5 linked regions of the Xenopus tropicalis genome follow. The protein of the gene in region 3 interacts with the protein of the main gene of each other region in a pairwise test. Links are inferred from orthologs where the notes say so. Each region holds a gene or a part of one and is shown on either strand. Other genes may lie near its edges. The genes, in order: dazap2, hes6.1, tle1, foxa2 and tk1.

Region 1 (3,514 bases), on a different chromosome or scaffold from region 3:
CTCATAACTCTTTGCACTTGTTAAGCTGTCAGTGGTTCTTAAGTCTGACCTCCAAAAACATATATACATGTTCATTCTTTTCATAAAAGTATGCATTATACATTTATGTAGGTTGGCAAATTACTTAAAAAATAAAGTGTTGCTGAATTACCATTCCTTGACCAAAACACCATCCCTTTAGAAGAACAAATAATTTAGATTTAAGAGGTGAGCAGAAAATGTGTTTAGGCTGGCTTATTATATACGCTATTTGGTGGAAAAGGCACAAAAAGCACCATGCTTAGCAGCCTTGCCTATTACTTCCATTTCCCAGTGCTACTTGAGAAACACCAGTAGTTAAACCTAAAATCATTTTAACAAAAAAAAATATATAGTATTATTAAGTATTGTAAGTTATATGATTTGCATCTGAAAATGATAATATAGCACCCTCGTGTGTAGTCTAACTGCTAATCTCTACAATATCCAACTATTCTATCATGCTGCTAATTAAAAGGGCAAATAACCCTGAAAAGCAGAAATTGTTTCAAGCAGCATTCAGAAATTAAAAAACAAATGGTTGACTTGCAGAAGACAGAAACAAGATGCATATATCTGAAATCTGGGGATTGAAAAGAAATAGGACTTTCTGAAATACATAGAGAAATGATGATAGGACATTCAGCAATAGAGGCCAAATATATTTGTCTATCTAGGCATTTCATTTTGCTTTCTTTAAAAGATACAATATGCAGTCCTAGGTGTTATTAATACAGCTGTGTCCTATTCCAAAGCCAGCAACAGTTATAAAGCACAACAATTTCTCAGTTATTTCAAATATTACTCCTAACGCACAGTCCTTCCATCCCTCATCTAAAGGACTCGGTGAGCCTAAAATCAGCCTGTAATTTGAAAGTTTATTATTAAGTGAAGGTGCATGGGAAGAGGTTAGAGGTGTTTTAAAGGGTTGCAAAGCATTTTCTTTCCTTATTAAAAGGACCTCCTTTAATATATAGTAGGAGTACTTAAAGAATGAGCACCAGGAAGACATCCCACGACATCCGTGACTAAACAGCAAATCTGGGTTAATATTCTAAAGCAGAACATTGTGGGAAGTGCTCACAGGGTGAGATGCCATTCCTTGTACAAAGGCTAGCCCATTGTATTATGTTTATTTTTTTTGTTTTATTTTTGCTTTTTAACCCCTGTTTTCATGCCTCTGGTTCCATCTCACCAAATGGTGTAGCCACCATCTGAGCCACCCATGAAGTAATTGCCTTTCCTCTGTGTGACCAATACATTTGCACCCTGCATGGCAGCCAGCTGAGCCGCATTCGGGGGGCAGCCCGGTGGAGGTGGCTGAAAGGAAAAAAAAAAAGAGAAAAGACCATTAAAATGGTAGCAGATTTTATAGTATAAAATGCACAAGGTATACCACCACAAATTACTAAATTAACATTAACATTCATAGCTATCATTTGGCTAGGAAGTTAATATGTATTCAGAGTCAAAATAAATTAAGAAGCACTGTCAGAACCAAGATGTGCTCACTACTTCACTTGTCTTCTAAATATCTGATGCAGAAATATATGTTATAAAGCAGGGTTCTCCAGGGGCACTGTCACTAAGTTCTCCTCCACAGGCAATTTCTATTTTCTTTCCACATAATGCAAAAATGTTAACTATAACAATTACTATTTTTTTTTCTGTCAGGGATGTATTTAAATTTGTATTCCTGTCTATTTATACCCTTGCATATATATATATCCATGGTACAAAAATAGGTAAGAGGGCACAAGAACCAGTTTTAGAAGGTGTATATAAAACTTTGTTACATACCAGCACTCTCTTAAAAGGGTTGGTTGTTCAATTTTAAATTAACATTTGGCATGATGTAGAGTGATATTCTGCCACAATTTCCAATCGGTTTTTCAATATTTATGGTCTTTGAGCTATTTAGCTTTCTATTCAGCAGCTCTCCAGTTCAGAATATCAGCAGCCATTAGCCATTCTATACGATACTAAAAGTTAACTTATAAGTAAACCACCCCAGATTTAACAAAAAAAAATGTGTTTTCGATCCTCATTAGGACTTTTATCAAGGAGTGTTACAGGTAACACTCAGTATTGCACAATAGATGTTGGTATTTAAAGAAAGAGAACCATTTATAGCAGTTACTTTATATATATATATATATATACACAGTTTATATCATGCTCTGTATGCTCCTTTCCCTGCAGCAAGATATAATGTCTGTATAAAGCTGGAAAGTGCTGGAAAGAATACTGCATGCAGTCTGACAGTACTTGTATAACATAAACAATGCAGTAGAACAGCACTCACAGGATTTATTGAATCAGTCTTCCAAAGGTTTATCTTGCACCATTTCGGTCCCCCACAGGCACCTTCTTCGGAAGATAAAAAAAAAAACCTTTGGAAGACTGATTTAGCAAATCTTGCAAGTGTCGTTCTTCTGAATTGTTTATGTTGTTTCTCAGGCACCCAGGTAAAGCAACTGTTTATGGTGTGCGCCTTATGTCTCCCTACATACATATACATTTGCAAAAATAAATTAGATTTTATGAACATGAATTTAATGATAGCATTATTAATACCGATATAACATACAAAAGCAGATATATTTGTCTCTAACACCGATTTAATAGCCTGTTATAACACTTACTGGAACAGATGGGGAGCTACCAACACCAAATCTAGCGCCTGCATCATAGCCCCCTTCAACAATGACTGTGGAGCCAGGTGGGTACACAGGACCAATAGGGTAATAAGCCATAGGTACTGATGAGGCCATTGGTGCAACTTGCATAGCCTGAGCCATAGGAAGATACATTGATGTGCTGGGGGGGTAAGCTGCAGACAGAGGGGCCATATTAGCTGCTGCTTGATGCACATACCCAGATCGGTAGAGCTAGAAAAAAAATATATCTGTTAGTGCCAATAAATTACCAATAAACTAAAACTATACTTTAAAAGCATAATTTGTTACCAATAATGGACAAATAATTGACCACCATTAAAAATAAGAATAATTTCAAAATGCCTACTATATATATGGCAGACAAGTAGTGAAACCATTGAAACACACACCCATACTACAATTACAGGGCAGTGCAACACAAAACCCCATGTTTCCCCTGTATGTTGTCCCCTCCCCAAACTACAAGACCAGCCAGAATGCTGTCTTTTGTAAGGTCAACAGGGTTTTATATAATAAACTATCAGCACCTTGTGAGCTTAAAGGGACACTACACACCCTTTTTCAACATGAGCTCGATAAATAAGGCATGTGCTTAACATACCTTTGCCTATTGTTTTAATAACCAAATATCTATGTTTTCCATTATTTCTGGCACAATATGAAGTCCGTTTCACTTTAACACTTCCTGAACCCAAAAGAATTTCAAAGATGCTGATAAAACTGCAGTTCCCAACAGATGGGAAAACAATGTGTAAAATCAATTTGGGCATACAAAGTACAGCACAATATTTACAATAATAATGGGTTCCATTTTG
Region 2 (3,958 bases), on a different chromosome or scaffold from region 3:
ATTACACAAAAACACTATAATGGAAAGTATCTACAGTGTGATGCTCCAACATCAGCGTCAAAGTGAAACATCCAGAAGGTAGTGGCAGTGGAACAATCAGAATTTTTCATGGGTCATCCTATACAACAGTACTAAGTCCTTTCCTTTAAGTGTTAAAATAGGTTGAGTTCCTATTACAGAGATCCAAAAATACAGAAATGACAGGTGGTGGCTCTTTCATAGTTGATGTACATTAATACTAGTGTATGAGCATGGCTCCCTGTGATCTTCTTCATTTGGTCACCATGGTCTCCACATTGTAGGGGTGGGGGGCTGAATCTCAGGGGTCCGGCCACTGTCCTGGACTGAACCCATTCCAGCCTTTTCCCCCTCAGATTCCTCCATATCAGAGCAGCTATCCTCAGAGGAGGATCCAAGCACTCCCAAGCCACATCCCTCTTCAGAGCTAGTGGAATCCAGAAGTACATCCATCACTAGGTCTTGCAAGCTGCCCTCACTCAGGGGCATAGACTCCAGCAAGTGGTTCAGAAGCTCAGCAGCCAAACTGGCATCGATGCCAGGACAACTGGATACAAAGGTGTGAACTTCATGCATACACTGGATGTACCCTGCTGCGAAACGCTCACTGGCCTCACGCTGTAACCGATCAGCCTCTGTAAAATAAAGAAATCACTATGACTATGGGCACTGGCACAACATACCAGAGACATTAGCCAAGACAACCAGACGAAAGCCGCTATGTGCGTATACACAAGGCCCCCCATGCCTTTACTAGGAGGAGGTGTTCTATACATTCTTGGCACACACACACTTACCAGCTGTTCTGTTCCGAAGGATCCGCTCAACACGTTTCACAGTCAGTTCTAGAACCTCTGCGTTCTCCATTTTTGACTGAAACTAAAGAGAAATGACAATGCCTTAATGTAAACATCTACATGTGAGTGTAGCACAGGATCATACTCATGGTACAGCAGAACTAATGGAGCAAATGTACATCAAGCAGAGAGAAAATGCAGAAAACTAATATCCCATGGGGGCTACAACCATATAGGTGTGTTTACATTTACACACACACACACACACACACACAAATCCCCACACCGTGTGAGCTCTTTTTGTAAGTACTCTGTATGTTCAATGCATACACAATAATTGTACAGTACTGTGGCATATGTGGCACTTTAATAAACAAATGTAAATATATACATACAGATAAAAAGAACAAACTTTAGCAGCAAGTATAGTATGAATAAAAGGCTGCTCGTCTGAGCTTCTGTACATACCTCAGTGTCAGACAGGATCCCACGCAGATCCTGTAGGCTCTCATTTATTCTAGCTCTTCTCCTCTTCTCAACCAGAGGTTTCCTCATCTGTTTAAAAAACCAAACAAACAAATGCCCGTTATAAACTGCCCCAACACAAACACTGTGGAAGGAATCTGGCAAATAATACATTCAGGGCACCAAAGAGTAGGATCTATCAGACTGAATCAATTATTTTGCAGCATTTGTCCATCTTGGATGTATGCTATGTGAGAAGCCCATGATCTACACAGTCTTCCTTTAACCCTTTCACCATCCACTTTTATATATCAGTGAGGCTCATTCATCAACTTAGCGCAGTAATTGGCCAATATCAATCTGCTGCAGGTACAATACTGAAAGGCGATATCTAGTTGCTATGGGTCACTAAAGCTTGCCCAGGGCTAGTAAATGAACCCCACTCTCTCCAGAGTTTCAATTATCAGTTAAACACAAAAACACCAAGTCCTCCAAACAAATCTAACTAAGAAATGTCTGATTATAGTCGCAAGGCAATAGCAGTGCACTCCGCTAAATACTTATCTAACTTTCATTATAAATGAATTGGGAAAACTGTCTCTTGAAACTATACGGCAGAAGTTGGTTCCTTCAGATCAGTAAATGAGCGTATTTCTACTACATTGTTCCAGGAGCCAGAGACAGATATTGCTTCCAATAACAATTACATTACAAATGGACTTGGGGGCCATTTAAAGCTGTACAGTCATACAAACTGGTTGCAGGGGAACTTAAAATGGCAAAACAAAGTGCATGAAAGGCAACCCTGCTACAAAGTTTCATTCTAGTATATACCTTCCTAGAGACAACAGCCAGGTCCCCCTCTATAAACAGTGCCATGTAAGGCAACACATTCACTGCGCCCAATCACATTCTAAATGTACAAGTTTTTACAGGCATGGGGTTAGGCTTTGCAATAGGCAGCCCTACAACTGGGCAAAACTACAACTCCCAGCAGCTACAGCTCTGAGGGCTGCATTTAATTACATTACAGAAATATCAAGGCACGGAGCTGATCTGCAGCCAAGTTACGGCACAGCAAAGCCAGTATAGCGCTTAGCCAAACGCAAAGCGATACATCGGTGCAACAGTGTCGCACGTAGAGCGTGTAGGCGCACAAAGGCTGCACACACGTCCCGCTGAAGCATGGGCACGGCAGCACATACCCCAGGCAGCCCGGAACACTGCCGGAACACTGGGGGGACTAATTCAAAGACAAATCCGTGCATAAGGCTCAGCAAAGCGAGAGGCGCAATGAGTGCGCACAATAGGTGCCCAGAGCGATCGCCGCGCTACACAGCCCCGGCCTGTTGGTTTAATCCACACACAACGGAAGTGAAAGTGTTGCGCCGGGGTCTCCCTCACCTGCCTGTCCCCCCGCTCCATGGGAGATATAGTGGTAGATATAACCGGAGCCACAGTACCGTGCCTATATAGCGCTCTCTCACCTGCCTCTCCCTGCGCTCCATCTGATCGCTATGGGACGTGCTACCGAGCTCTTTGTGACGTCACTCTGCGGCTGCCCGCACTCTCCATATATCGCGCCTCATTTCCATGTGAATGGCAGGCCGCTCGTTGCGTCACGTACGCCGCCAACCAATGGGAGCGCGTCGCATTGTGCCAGTCGGCAGCTGCTGGATAGGGCTGCGGGAGTGTGAGGCTTAGGTTGCAGGTACCGCCCGCACTGAATTATCGCAATGCTGTGCTATAGGCGTTTTATGTGCGGCTGTTGCTTTCAAGTCCTGTTTCTTATCACCTGCCCTTATAGTGCAGCGAATGTGTGGGGTTCTCCGAGGTTTAATACACCCGCTCAGCTTCAATTCCGCCAAGTGCAGACACAGATCAGTTAATAGTGATTCATTCAGTTAGTTAATTTTATGCAGCAAATTAAGAAAGATTTTGAATCGTCTGTCTTGTGTATATTATGTCATAAGGTCGAAAAAAAGGTTTTGCTCACTACTAAATTTTGAACCATTAGGCTGGGGTGCAATGAGGCTGTGACCCCAAAATTCACGGGGGCAGCAATAAGAGATCTGCACTGACCCATTATCTATATAGGCATTAAACTACCAAGAAATGCCCTCCTCTCTAAGCAAAACAGGGATTGTTTGTCCATATATTGCAATATACTTCTAGCTGGCCAACTATGTCATCCCTGGTCTGGCTAGTCCTACACTCACTTTCATCTGATTCATTAACAATTCTATATATATTACCAAAGGGTGAGAGCAGAGTTACATAGGGTTGAAAAAAGAGTCCATCAAGTTCAACCCTTCCAAGTAAACCCAGCACCCACAAACCTATTTGGTCTCCAGTGCTCAAACGGGACATTATTGAGTTAGAGAGGGTACAGAGAAGGGCAACTAAGCTGGTAAAGGGTATGGAAAGTCTCAGTTATGAAGAAAGACTGGCCAAGTTGGGTCTGTTTACACTGGAGAAGAGGCGCTTAAGAGGTGACATGATAACTATGTCTAAATATATAAGGGGATCATATAATAACATTTCTAATGTTTTATTTACCAGTAGGTCCTTCCAACGGACACGAGGGCACCCACTCCGTTTAGAAGAAGGGAGGTTCCGTTTAAATATTCGGAAAGGATTTTTTAATGTGAGAGCTGTGAAGTTCTGGAATTCCCTCC
Region 3 (3,514 bases):
ATATGTTTTGTTTTAAACCATTCCATTGTTGCCCTGGCTTTATGTTTAGGGTCGTTGTCCTGCTGGAAGGTGAACCTCTGCCCCAGTCTCAAGTCTTTTGCAGACTCCAAGAGGTTTTCTTCCAAGATTGCCCTGTATTTGGCTCCATCCATCTTCCCATCAACTCTGACCAGCTTCCCTGTCCCTGCTGAAGAGAAGCCCCCCCAGAGCATGATGCTGCCACCACCATATTTGACAGTGGGGATGGTGTGTTCAGAGTGATGTGCAGTGTTAGTTTTCCGCCACACATAGCGTTTTGCATTTTGGCCAAAAAGTTCAATTTTGGTCTCATCTGACCAGAGCACCTTCTTCCACATGTTTGCTGTGTCCCCCGCATGGCTTGTGGCAAACTGCAAACGGGACTTCTTATGGTTTTCTGTTAACAATGGCTTTCTTCTTGCCACTCTTCCATAAAGGCCAACTTTGTGCAGTGCACGACTAATAGTTGTCCTATGGACAGATTCCCCCACCTGAGCTGTAGATCTCTGCAGCTCCCCCAGAGTCACCATGGGCCTCTTGGCTGCATTTCTGATCAGCGCTCTCCTTGTTCGGCCTGTGAGTTTAGGGGGACGGCCTTGTCTCGGTAGGGTTACAGTTGTGCCATACTCCTTCCATTTCTGAATGATCGCTTAAACAGTGCTCCGTGGGATGTTCAAGGCTTTGGAAATCTTTTTGTAGCCTAAGCCTGCTTTAAATTTCTCAATAACTTTATCCCTGACCTGTCTGGTGTGTTCTTTGGACTTCATGGTGGTGTTGCTCCCAATATTCTCTTAGACAACCTCTGAGGCTGTCACAGAGCAGCTGTATTTGTACCGACATTAGATTACACACAGGTGCACTCATCAGGCAATGTCTATGGGCAACTGACTGCACTCAGACCAAAAGGGGGCTGAATAATTACGCACACCCCACTTTGCAGTTATTTATTTGTAAAAAATGTTTGGAATCATGTATGATTTTCGTTCCACTTCTCACGTGTACACCACTCTGTATTTGTCTTTCACGTGGAATTCCAATAAAATTGATTCATGTTTGTGGCTGTAATGTGACAAAATGTGGAAAAGTTCAAGGGGGCCGAATACTTTTGCAAGCCACTGTATGCACTGACAGGCTAGGGATCAGCTTGTCAGTGCACACGCAGTGGATTTTGTAGCAAAAATGCATATTTTAAAGTTCTAAAGCCCTGGAGTCTGCTGTGTGTTTACTTGTAATGTTGTTTTGTCCATTCCTGCAAGAATGTTGAATGTTTTAATAAGTATTGTTAAATTTTAATATGCATTAAAACCGCGGCAGTTACCACATACACATTCAGGAAGCAGAAGGCAGCAGATCAGCTTTTCTCCCGTTGCATATAAAATGTCAGAGGCACAGCGAAAACAGTTAGGCTAATGGCAGAGTTTGTTTTCTTTGCTTTTATGGTAAAAATGAATTCTAAATGGATTGCTGGGATAATATTTCAGTTTATAAACACAGCACTCTGAAAATTAGACATCACCCCCACTCCCCTGCAAAATAAAATAGTTCCAACTTACCGCAATAGGCAAATTTTAGTGAGAGTACACAGCTTTCATGCAGGTGCAGCTGATACTTGTCTGGCTTGTTTACATGCAGTACTTCCACATTACTACTCTCCATTCCAACAGCAAGCCATTCACCAGTTGGGCAATACCCAAGAGAGAAGATCTATAGGAAACATACAGTGGTCAATCAATGCAATAAACCATCATTAGGCTACAGTAGAACCTAGATTTTAGGTTTTCCCAGAACTGATGCAGATTTTTGATCTTATGGTTTTCTGATAATTATGCCTTTTTGATACACTACAGTACCCAATCCCGGTGCAGTTTTCAGGTGACAGGAGCACTGGTAAGCAATTATACTCATAACTGTTAATTGGAAATCTCATTGTTAAGTGAAAATACAAGAGTAAAAAGAATCCCCCTGCCCTCATTTTCACTTCAAATTGCACCATGAGGCTATATGTAATTCCTGTTAAAATCAATGGGAAATTATTTCCCTAAAAGTAACAAATTACCATATGTTACATTAACCTAAATGTTTGCATTTTTATTATTTCCTTTCCTCTGGATTATTGCAAAGTTTGTATTACAGATAAACTACAGACAGCTGGAATGTCAAATGGCATGGTAGTAGCAATTGCCTCTGCAAACTAGGACTATTACTTATTTATATTAAAAAATACATTTTAAAAACATTTTATAAACCACAGTATTCATATAGGAATTATTCTACTCTCAAATAAGTAAATATTTAAAGAATAATATTAATACTTGACATTATCCCATTTTTTAGAAGGGTTGAAGGTGAAAGAAATATGGCAGCAATTACCTGTGATGTAAAGTCATGCTGCTGGAGCTGCCGTCCTTCACGCAGGTCCCAGGACCTTACCGTGTTGTCCAAACCCCCGGTCCAGAGCTTGGTACCATCATTAGAAATGTCAATACAGCTGGCTCCATCTGTGTGGCCCTGGAACTGCCTGATAAGACAAACACGATTGAATAATGATTTCCTGCCAGTATTCAAGGTAAACACTGCTGTGTTGTTAGCTTTGGACTTTCCCTACATGTGTCACCTCTTGTAAATATATTAAAAGAGTAACACGCCCCCCTTTCTGTTTTGAGATAAAGCGCAGGCGCTTATGTGGCTCTAATTTCAGTAATTTAATTAGCAAACTTTAGAATAGGCAATTTGGATAAAATCATTTGTTGCCAATGAGCGGATTCTTCTAATTATATTTTATACAAGCATTGCACAAAATAGCTTGCACAAAATGTTCACTTATCTCTATGGCTGCAAAGAGTTTCTCTAAGGGATAATATTTAACAGAAAATTTCAGTATCCATACAAAAATGCTCAATAGACACAAAAGTTTCCAATGTATACAAAATCTAGACTGCATGAGCTCCTGTTTTTATACACCCATAATGTTTTTCTGTTCCTTACTAAAAAAATCTTTGTTTTGTTCTAGTACAGTGGTTCTCAACCTTCCTAATGCCGCGACCCTATTTACTAGACTAACGTTTCGGCTAGCACTCTAGCCTTTTTCAAACTTTGAAAAAGGCTAGAGTGCTAGCCGAAACGTTAGTCTCCTCTTTAATAAAATAATTTGTTTGTATAAGTCCTGTGAGTGCTGACCCTCTCTCAAGCACTTATATATATATATATATATATATATATTTTTATTTTTTTTTTTTACAAGAGAGTGGCACACCGCTTTAGTTAAATACCCAGGTGCATGGTAAAAATATAACACATCACATAAAAAAGACCAGCAACACTGCCATACATACTAGAAGTATGTGCCCCTGTACAAAAAAAAAAAAACTAATATAAAAATAAATAAAATATATTGGCTAGAAGGGAAATTCCAAAAGGAGACTGACTAACTGTGCTTAGAATTTCATGTGAAGGTAGGAACTAGAATTATCAGAGTCCCAAATCTGTCATGTGCCTG
Region 4 (4,313 bases), on a different chromosome or scaffold from region 3:
TATCTAATCCCATTGTGGCAGAACTTTCATGGACTTGTGAGAAATTGAAGGGAAGTGTCAGCAGAGCAGAACCCTTCAGCCTCCCTGTATCCCACCTTGGTACAGTCCAGACCTTGGCTTGTGCTCACTTATCTGATTCACCTTCAGCCACAAAAATATGTGTATAGAGGTGGAAAGAAAAATCCCGACAGAAATGCCAATTCATTTTTTAATAGAGATTGTTAAACCGGCCGGTTATGGCCAGAATACATACAGCAGTCATAAATAAAACATACAGAAACCATAAATTAACCAGTTTCAAGCATCTCCCCCAAACAAATAAAAAAAAAAAACATCTTTTTTTTCAATTACATCAATATATTCCGTTTCTGTTTTTTTTAACATTACCAATATCACACAATTTTGGTCCTTAGGGAAAATTAACAGATTTCACACAGAAAAATTAGGATCCGTCACTTTCACAAAAATATACTCCTTGCCAAAGAAAAGCACCCAAATCAAACATAGCTTAACAAGCTAAGCTCCTATACAGAAACAAACTCGGGGGACTGTACAATTCAATAGGAATGTAGACACATACTATGTTGTTTTTCTTCTTAATATTATATACACAGAGCCCAGGTGACAAGTCCATGGTAGAAAGTCTATGAGGAGTTCATGATAGGTCTAGAATACACACCTTGATAGTATGAGGTGTCACTGGAAATAGGTGAAGACTCTAAGCCACTTTTGTTTGTTACTGTGCTCATTGCCAGGCTGCCAGTCATGGGGGACCCGTAACCAGAGTAGTGCATCACCTGTTCATAAGCTTTTAAGTCCATTTTATGGTGATGATGGTGGTTGTGGTGGTGGTGATGGTGGTGCTGTTGCTCTGAGGACATGAGGTTGTTGATGGAGAATGGGTGGTTGAAAGAATAATGGTGTTCTGGTTTGAGGTGGGACTGGGCTTCATGGGACAAGACAGAGTGGTGCTGGGAAAGCAAGTGCTGGGCTTGGGAGGCTGGGGAGGCTGCATGGTCTGGGCTTAAGCCTTGGCTGGACTTCATATCTACTAGAGACCTCTTCTGCTCCTGGCAGGGGGACGAGCTGGAGTGCGGGGACTCATTGCCCACTGAGCTCTCAGAGCTGCTGTTGGCTGCAGAGCCCACACTCGATGACCCTTCTGAGAGTTTCTTGCCTCCCCCTTCTCTAAGGCTGGGCTTTTTCTCGCACTTGAAGCGTTTCTGTCGCCTCAGGTAACAGCCATTCTCAAACATGTTGCCCGAATCGGGGTGTAGGGTCCAGAAGGAGCCCTTTCCGGGCTTGTCAGGGGACCTGGGCACCTTGAGAAAACAGTCATTGAAGGAAAGAGAATGGCGGATAGAGTTCTGCCAGCGCTGCTGGTTCTGCCTGTAGAAAGGAAACAGGTCCATGATCCACTGATAAATCTCGCTGAGAGTGAGCATCTTGTTGGGGGACTGCTGGATCGCCATGGTGATGAGCGAGATGTACGAGTAGGGGGGCTTCGCATGCGTATAACTGCGCCTGTAAGTCTTGGGGTCCCTGGATCTGTTGATGTTGGACTGTCCATAGATTGGGCTCATTGAGTTCATGTTGGTATAGGGTGCCAGGGCATTCATAGAAGTAGCCTGGGCACTCATCGGGCTCATACTGGGGCTGAGGTGACTTGCCATACTGGCTACCCCGGTGCCCATTCCAGTCATTGCCCCGGTGCCAGGAGACATGCCGGTGAGCGATGGGCTCATCCCAGTATTCACATAGGACATGTTCATGGAGCCGGCGGTCATGTTGGCCGAGGTGCTCATAGCAGACATGCTCATGTACGTGTTCATGGGGTTCATGCTCAGCCCGGCGTTCATGTTACCCACCGAGGAGTAAGCCTGGGAACAAACGACAGGGTCACAATCTAAAAGTCGCAAAATCAACAGCAACCTGTGGCCCTCCGGCTCTGGCTGAAACACACTGTCCGTGGAGGCAGACGTGGAAGGCTGGAAGATGTAGTTCAGCAAGAGCTCGGAAGTCACAGGTTGTAGAGACACATGTACAACTCGTAGAACGTTTTCTTCTGTTAATGTTAAACAACTCGGGCTTAAATCATGTCAAATAATATTAAATACAATATACATACATATATATAGCCCCTCTAGAAAAGATCAATAAATATTTATTTATACGTTTCTCTATACCTGCCCAGTTATAAGGCTGCCCACACATTGCTATTCTGACCCTACTGTTGATTCCATAATAAAGAAAACGAAAGTGTCAAATATTCAGAGACCCAGAAATGCTAAAAAAACAACAAAAAACGAAATAAAATGATTTAAGGAATATAGCAGCCCCTCTCCCCCCAAGCCAGCCTTGGGAAGCCCTTTGGGTATAAGGGTTCTTACTAAAGACAACTCCAGGAGAAAATCAGGAAAATGTCCATATTTAGTACAAACTGTTCTTCCTGAAAGTGTGATTAGTTAAATTCACAAGTATAATCTGTTTTTTTTCCATACAATTCCCCTTGCCTGTGCCCATTGCCTTGCCCCCCCTGCCCATGCCAAACAGAACTTTGTTGGGACAGTGTGTGGCTCAGTCATCGAGGAGGATTTGGAGGCGCCACAAGTCAATATTTGATGACCAAGTTAATATTATCCCAGGGCTAACAGTGCGCTATAAAGAGGCAGAATGAGGCAAGGATTGTGCCATTAGCGACAAGCGGCTCTTTACCTCGGGTTCCCCGTAGTAGCTGCTCCAGTCTGTGGCTTCGTGTCCTTCCATTTTCACAGCCCCGAGCATACTGGAAGCTGAGTGCCTGGCAGTTTAAAATTTAACTGCCACAACAACTACGACAGCGATAGCAACAAAAAGAGAGAGAGTGTGAGGGAGCCAGGAACCCTCCCTCTTCCTCTCTGATCACTAGGAGGGGGAAGGCTGGAGGTGGCTGCTGCTGCTGCTGGGCTAGTGTTGGGCACAAATGGACAGCCAGAGGGGCTGCTCAATGAGTGGGATGGGGTTTCAGGGAAACTGAAGTAGCAAGAGGTGCTGCAGGGGGTGAAAAAGACCTCAGGGTGCTGCTGCTGAGGAGGAGGATGATGATGATGACTCCAAGTCTAGTAGTGACGTTGCTGCAGGGTGATATAGCACCCAGCTCCAGGCAAACCTCCAATCCCCAGGTCTTCGCCTGCCCATTTGAATAATCAGCTCACACCTAAGTGCCAGACTGTTCCTTGGCCCTGCTATTCTACACCTGCCTTAAACCTATTTGAATAGATTCATTAAGCTTTAATCTGATTGTGCACTTCCCTAGGGGAGGAGTGGGGATTGGACGAGAGAAGGACACAAACTCACTTTATTACCCAATTTTTTTGTTCCTCTACATGGATATGGGAGAAACTGTAGTCACCTAAACTGGCAGATATCTTATTAACTGATACCAAAGCAAAATACAACTCCCCAACACACATTATTTTATACACCATTTTATTTTATTGAATTCACAATCAATATGAATGGCAAATAACTGGGACGCATATACAGATAATAGAAATAAGAATTATTACTCCCACATAAGATAATTGGTTGCGATTTATTTCAGAACCAATGAAAGTGCAATTAGGTAAAGGTTTAACGATAAATAACAGAAATAGAATAAAGTGATAATGCAATAAGGTTACATTTTTAATCTCACCACAATCAGGAAAATTCCATTCCAATTTGATACAAAGTCCTGTGAATCTTTACAGAAAGTTACCTTAAAAACCCAGATCCCAGGGAAAGGGAAATGCCAAAATAAAAATTTATTACAGATAATACATTTGAGTATGAAAACCTATCCACAGCATCGACTCAAAGAGACGAAATGTTCTACGATCTTGTTGTATTCCTTCCAATCTTGCCCCAGAACCGACGATAATCCACTTGCATAAAATATAATAAAATAGATTTGTTCTGTATTTTGTATAGTGTCTGCTCCATCTGCCTGAGATCTGTCATTTGCCGCCCGTTCCGACTGAACTAAGCGCACAAGCAGAGCTGCAACATATATTTATTCTGGAGGGCACGTTTGCTGTTTGAGATATTAAACAAAGTAAAGTTTATTTAACGTGTTTGATCATCGCAGATTTAGCAGATCGTCTCAGGGATGGTCAATAAATTGGGCCTTAGGAAAACAAGGAAATTCTGAAGAGGAATAAAGCGTTGCCTTTCGTTTGAACAGCCCTGCAATGTACAGAAAGCTAATCTTGTACAATGAGGGGAAATTACTAATAATAAAATAAAACAGAACGCACAAGCTGTATACAGTAGGGAGGTGGGAGGCATGTGTC
Region 5 (4,095 bases), on a different chromosome or scaffold from region 3:
CTTTTTAAAATCAGTAAATACAAATGTACCACAACCAATGATATGCGATATTTCTATATGTAGATAAGATGAGCTTAACAATACAGAATGTGTAAAATTGCTTACTGGTCATGTGTAGCAAGATGCTCTTTGCTGTAGCGTGTATCTTTCGCATACTTTATAAGCATGCACTTGTACTGTGCAATCTGAAACCGTCGCACTCTGCGCATCAGCTCTGTGCTGTAAAATATACAGAAAATTTGTTCAGCAGAATAGGAAAATAAGCAGTCTCATGCGATGACATACAGCAGTTAAAGGACAATAAACATACTTTTTTAAAAAGGCTTACTATAATACATACTGCAGCACTCTAAAAATGGATGCAATGTGAGCAAATACCAAACAGCACCACCATCCATTCAAAAAAAAAAAAAAAAAAAAAAAAAAAAAAGAAGAATTGTCCCAACGCAGACCAAGACTGATTCCCCTACTGCCCTCCTTCCAAAGCACTTTAGCCCATTGGAAGTAGCGTGCCCCATTGCCATAGCAACACACTGTTCTCAATAAGGAACATCTAGATTACAGCTCATGAGAGAGAATATAGAATTGCGCGGTCCTTTGAACTCACCTTTTTCCAGAAAACATTGGCCCAAATATCACCTAAAAGTAAAAACAAATGGGTTTGAAATACAAATTAACACACAAACCAACTATAGCAGTCATGGTATATACACTTTCATTTGATGGACATGTATACTTTTTAACATCTTTTATCATTAACCATGTAGCTAATTTGAGCATTTTGTGTTCTTTGGGGCATTTTGTCTTTTAGTTTACATATTGAAACTGCCCATTGCTTTGTTAGGACAACCTTAACATTCTCAGAGTCTTTGTGCAACTCCACTTCTGTAACATGATAAAAATAATTTCTATACAATACAGAAGTATATATCAGAAGCATTTTATATTTCACTGATCTGGAAGGCCCCATGTCTCCCGAATGAGCCAATACCAGAATTCTGACTTGTACAGGTCATAAATTCCAAACATAAGCAGGTTTTCAAAGCAGTGCAGCAGAAATCAGCATACAATTGCATGGCCAAATAATTTCCAGTGGTAGCAATGCTTTGCTAAAGTGGATTTCTAATAAATTTTAGTAAAAACTAACTCAAACCTCTCTGTATTTTATCTTCAAAATGTGATAAAGGTACCATTGTATGGCACTATAAATAGGACGGGTCTTCTGGCCCTGTATCCATACAAAGGTTCGCCAAAGACCGTGAAATGTAAAGGCCCCAAAATGAAAATAATAAATAAAATAGTCATGGCAGTCTCTTCAACTACTTCAAAATTAGCACACAGACCAGATTTTTACAATACTGCTTGTTTCCTAGGGGCTGGAGAACAAAGGAGCAGCATAAACGCCGCTCTCCTCCCCACCTGTGAGTGCGGCAGAATGTAGAATCTATGTTGTGGAATGTAGAACCTTTTATCTACAGAATGTGTATTCAGTCAAACCTTTGTTCAAAACACAATTCTGCATTCCATCCTTTGCCAGCATTAGTATTCTATTTATAGATAAACTCTGTAAGAATGCATATGATATATACCCAATCCCAACTACTACAACAGTGATCCCCAACCAGTGACTCCTGAGCAACATGTCACTCCCCACCCCCTTGGATGTTGCTCCCAGTGGTCTCAAAGCAGGTGCTCATTTTTGAATGTCTGGCTTGGAGGCAAGTTTTGGAATCACAGAGACACAGTTTTACTTCAAGCAGAGCCTCCTGCAGGCTAGCAGCCCACATGGGGCTATCGAATAGCCAATCACAGCCCTTATTTGGCAACCCCAAAAACCTTTTTCATGCCTGTGTGGCCCACCAACACTTTTTACAGCAGAGTGTGGCTCACAAGCAAAAAAAGGTTGGGGATCCCTGTACTAAGACACTGGGAATAGTCTTTGCCAACACTTTATGGGGCTCACATACAAAAGAAAGTGAATTCATTGTGTGCCATAAACCCCCCTAGAAAATAACCCTGAATATCAGGCTCAGACTGCCAATCTGCAGATTTTGGTACATGCCACAAACAGTCACTATTTCTGGAGCCTGTCCCTGGCTGTTTAGGCCTCTGTGTGCTTGAAATAGCAGGTTCTGTTTTGAATCCCAGCCCCTATGATGCCATATGTGCCACTACCCTAAAAACCAGAATTCTTAGCAGTCTTTCCACTTACTGCTAGAATTATTTGGCACACACCATAAGCTTCAAGGGCAGGGATATATTTTGTTTTGTTCTTTCCAGGCACCAGAGTGCAACCCCTAAGGCTGCCACATTTGGTACATGCCCTTGGGTACTTATATAAAAATGATAACCCCACTAATAAGGAACAAAGTCCCTGCCCTGTACAGTTGCACTTAAATATATACTTAACCCAAATGTAAGTCTATATACAAGATGTATGTCTGGGAGCTGCATGATGCAGTGTGTTGTGCCTCACAGCCCTTGGTGTATAATACTGAGGGCAAATATAATCTATACATGCACCTGAGCCCACTATTAATACACGTTCCCTTTAGGGGGCCTCTCATAAAGATGTGTTAGGCTAGATACAACACAAAAACTCCCTTGCAGCTGTCATATAACAAGAGTGCTCAGCCAGTTTCTCCTAGAACTACAAATCACTTCACTTCATGACAAGTCATCTGGAGAGTAAACTGCATGGCTAAATGTAATGCTGTGCCCGGCTTACCTGGATCTGGCCCCGGGATTTGCTGGGCGAGCCTGGCATGATTTCGGGTACGTTGAGGCAATTCATATCGGTACCAGGCGAGAGCAGAGCGCGGGAATGACTGTGTCCGGTACAGTCACTTCTTTCAATACAACGTCTGTGCATTCTCCCGCGCAGCTCTGTCCAATCACAGGCGGCGATGGTGTACGCTAGCCAATGGGATTCTACAGCCCCCGCTGTTATGAAGATGAGGAAGGAGGGGATTCAGCTTTCACTGGTTGGCCTGGTGTTTGGCAAACGAGTTGGAGGTGGCGGGAAAAGAAAATTAAATAAACATGAATTTGTAACTAGTGGGACCCTGTAATGTAAATGTTCTTTTCCAGTTAGCGAGGGAGTATGCAAGGGTCAGTTGCATATAATATGAAGGAAAGCTTGCGGAACGCTTCAATGAAATCTACCGCTGATACCGCAGCGAAATCCTGTTGTGGGTTGTGGCACTTGTTAGAACGATGGCTGACGCGTTTTGGCACTAGTATTACGCTTAGCCTGTATGTTTAAAGAAGTGCTTCACAATTTTAATAAAATCACCCCCCCCAACTCTGTCCCTTTTGCCAAAGTAAGAATTTTTGCAATAGAAGAAAATACATTTTTAAAAAAAAAAAAAATTGTGCCAATAGCAGATATTTATTTTCAGAGAGAGCTTTCCCAGCTAATAGGGGCTCCATGCCCCGCTAATAGGGGCTCCATGCCCCGCTAATAGGGGCTCCATGCCCAGCTAATAGGGGCTCCATGCCCCGCTAATAGGGGCTCCATGCCTAGCTAATAGGGGCTCCATGCCTAGCTAATAGGGGCTCCATGCCCCGCTAATAGGGGCTCCATGCCCAGCTAATAGGGGCTCCATGCCCCGCTAATAGGGGCTCCATGCCCCGCTAATAGGGGCTCCATGCCCAGCTAATAGGGGCTCCATGCCCAGCTAATAGGGGCTCCATGCCCAGCTAATACGAGCTCCATGCCCAGCTAATAGGGGCTCCATGCCCAGCTAATAGGGGCTCCATGCCCAGCTAATAGGGGCTCCATGCCCCGCTAATAGGGGCTCCATGCCCCGCTAATAGGGGCTCCATGCCCAGCTAATAGGGGCTCCATGCCCCGCTGAAGGTCTCTGACTTTCTCCTTTGTCATATTACCTGCTATTACTGCTACTGCCCAGTTTCTCACTACTTTGTTTGTATAGTATTAATCAGATTGTCAGGAAGTATAATATCATACCTCCCAACATTTGAAAAATGAAAAGAGGGACAAAAAGATTTGGCACGCGCAGCACGGCAATTTTTGACCACGCCCCCTTTTGTGGCCACGCCCCAATTACCACATCCCATTTTTAAAAAAAT

Evidence for each region.
Region 1: the proteins of tle1 (region 3) and dazap2 interact in binary tests that used the Homo sapiens proteins (3 or more experiments, as listed by UniProt). The link is inferred for Xenopus tropicalis from reciprocal best matches to the Homo sapiens genes TLE1 and DAZAP2.
Region 2: the proteins of tle1 (region 3) and hes6.1 interact in binary tests that used the Homo sapiens proteins (3 or more experiments, as listed by UniProt). The link is inferred for Xenopus tropicalis from reciprocal best matches to the Homo sapiens genes TLE1 and HES6.
Region 4: the proteins of tle1 (region 3) and foxa2 interact in a two-hybrid assay, tested with the Homo sapiens proteins (2 studies listed by BioGRID and IntAct). The link is inferred for Xenopus tropicalis from reciprocal best matches to the Homo sapiens genes TLE1 and FOXA2.
Region 5: the proteins of tle1 (region 3) and tk1 interact in a two-hybrid assay, tested with the Homo sapiens proteins (2 studies listed by BioGRID and IntAct). The link is inferred for Xenopus tropicalis from reciprocal best matches to the Homo sapiens genes TLE1 and TK1.

The regions. Positions count from the first base shown.
Region 1 is NC_030678.2:142,308,543-142,312,056, reverse strand, and holds part of dazap2 (DAZ-associated protein 2), read right to left. Parts: intron 2,910-3,514; coding exon 2,664-2,909; intron 1,339-2,663; coding exon 1,210-1,338; 3' UTR 1-1,209. UniProt on the Homo sapiens protein: In unstressed cells, promotes SIAH1-mediated polyubiquitination and degradation of the serine/threonine-protein kinase HIPK2, probably by acting as a loading factor that potentiates complex formation between HIPK2 and ubiquitin ligase SIAH1.
Region 2 is NC_030681.2:128,040,294-128,044,251, forward strand, and holds the start of hes6.1 (transcription cofactor HES-6), read right to left. Parts: upstream 2,804-3,958; 5' UTR 2,789-2,803; coding exon 2,744-2,788; exon of another isoform or gene 2,706-2,743; coding exon of another isoform or gene 2,685-2,705; intron 1,371-2,684; coding exon 1,284-1,370; intron 898-1,283; coding exon 816-897; intron 654-815; coding exon 280-653; 3' UTR 1-279. UniProt on the Homo sapiens protein: Does not bind DNA itself but suppresses both HES1-mediated N box-dependent transcriptional repression and binding of HES1 to E box sequences.
Region 3 is NC_030677.2:133,433,301-133,436,814, forward strand, and holds part of tle1 (transducin-like enhancer protein 1), read right to left. Parts: intron 2,537-3,514; coding exon 2,389-2,536; intron 1,723-2,388; coding exon 1,572-1,722; intron 1-1,571. UniProt on the Homo sapiens protein: Transcriptional corepressor that binds to a number of transcription factors. Inhibits NF-kappa-B-regulated gene expression. Inhibits the transcriptional activation mediated by FOXA2, and by CTNNB1 and TCF family members in Wnt signaling.
Region 4 is NC_030681.2:35,623,908-35,628,220, reverse strand, and holds foxa2 (forkhead box protein A2), read right to left. Parts: upstream 2,815-4,313; 5' UTR 2,785-2,814; coding exon 2,716-2,784; intron 1,881-2,715; coding exon 645-1,880; 3' UTR 195-644; downstream 1-194. UniProt on the Homo sapiens protein: Transcription factor that is involved in embryonic development, establishment of tissue-specific gene expression and regulation of gene expression in differentiated tissues.
Region 5 is NC_030686.2:26,185,850-26,189,944, reverse strand, and holds the start of tk1 (thymidine kinase, cytosolic), read right to left. Parts: upstream 2,813-4,095; 5' UTR 2,795-2,812; coding exon 2,729-2,794; intron 640-2,728; coding exon 608-639; intron 220-607; coding exon 106-219; intron 1-105. UniProt on the Homo sapiens protein: Cell-cycle-regulated enzyme of importance in nucleotide metabolism. Catalyzes the first enzymatic step in the salvage pathway converting thymidine into thymidine monophosphate.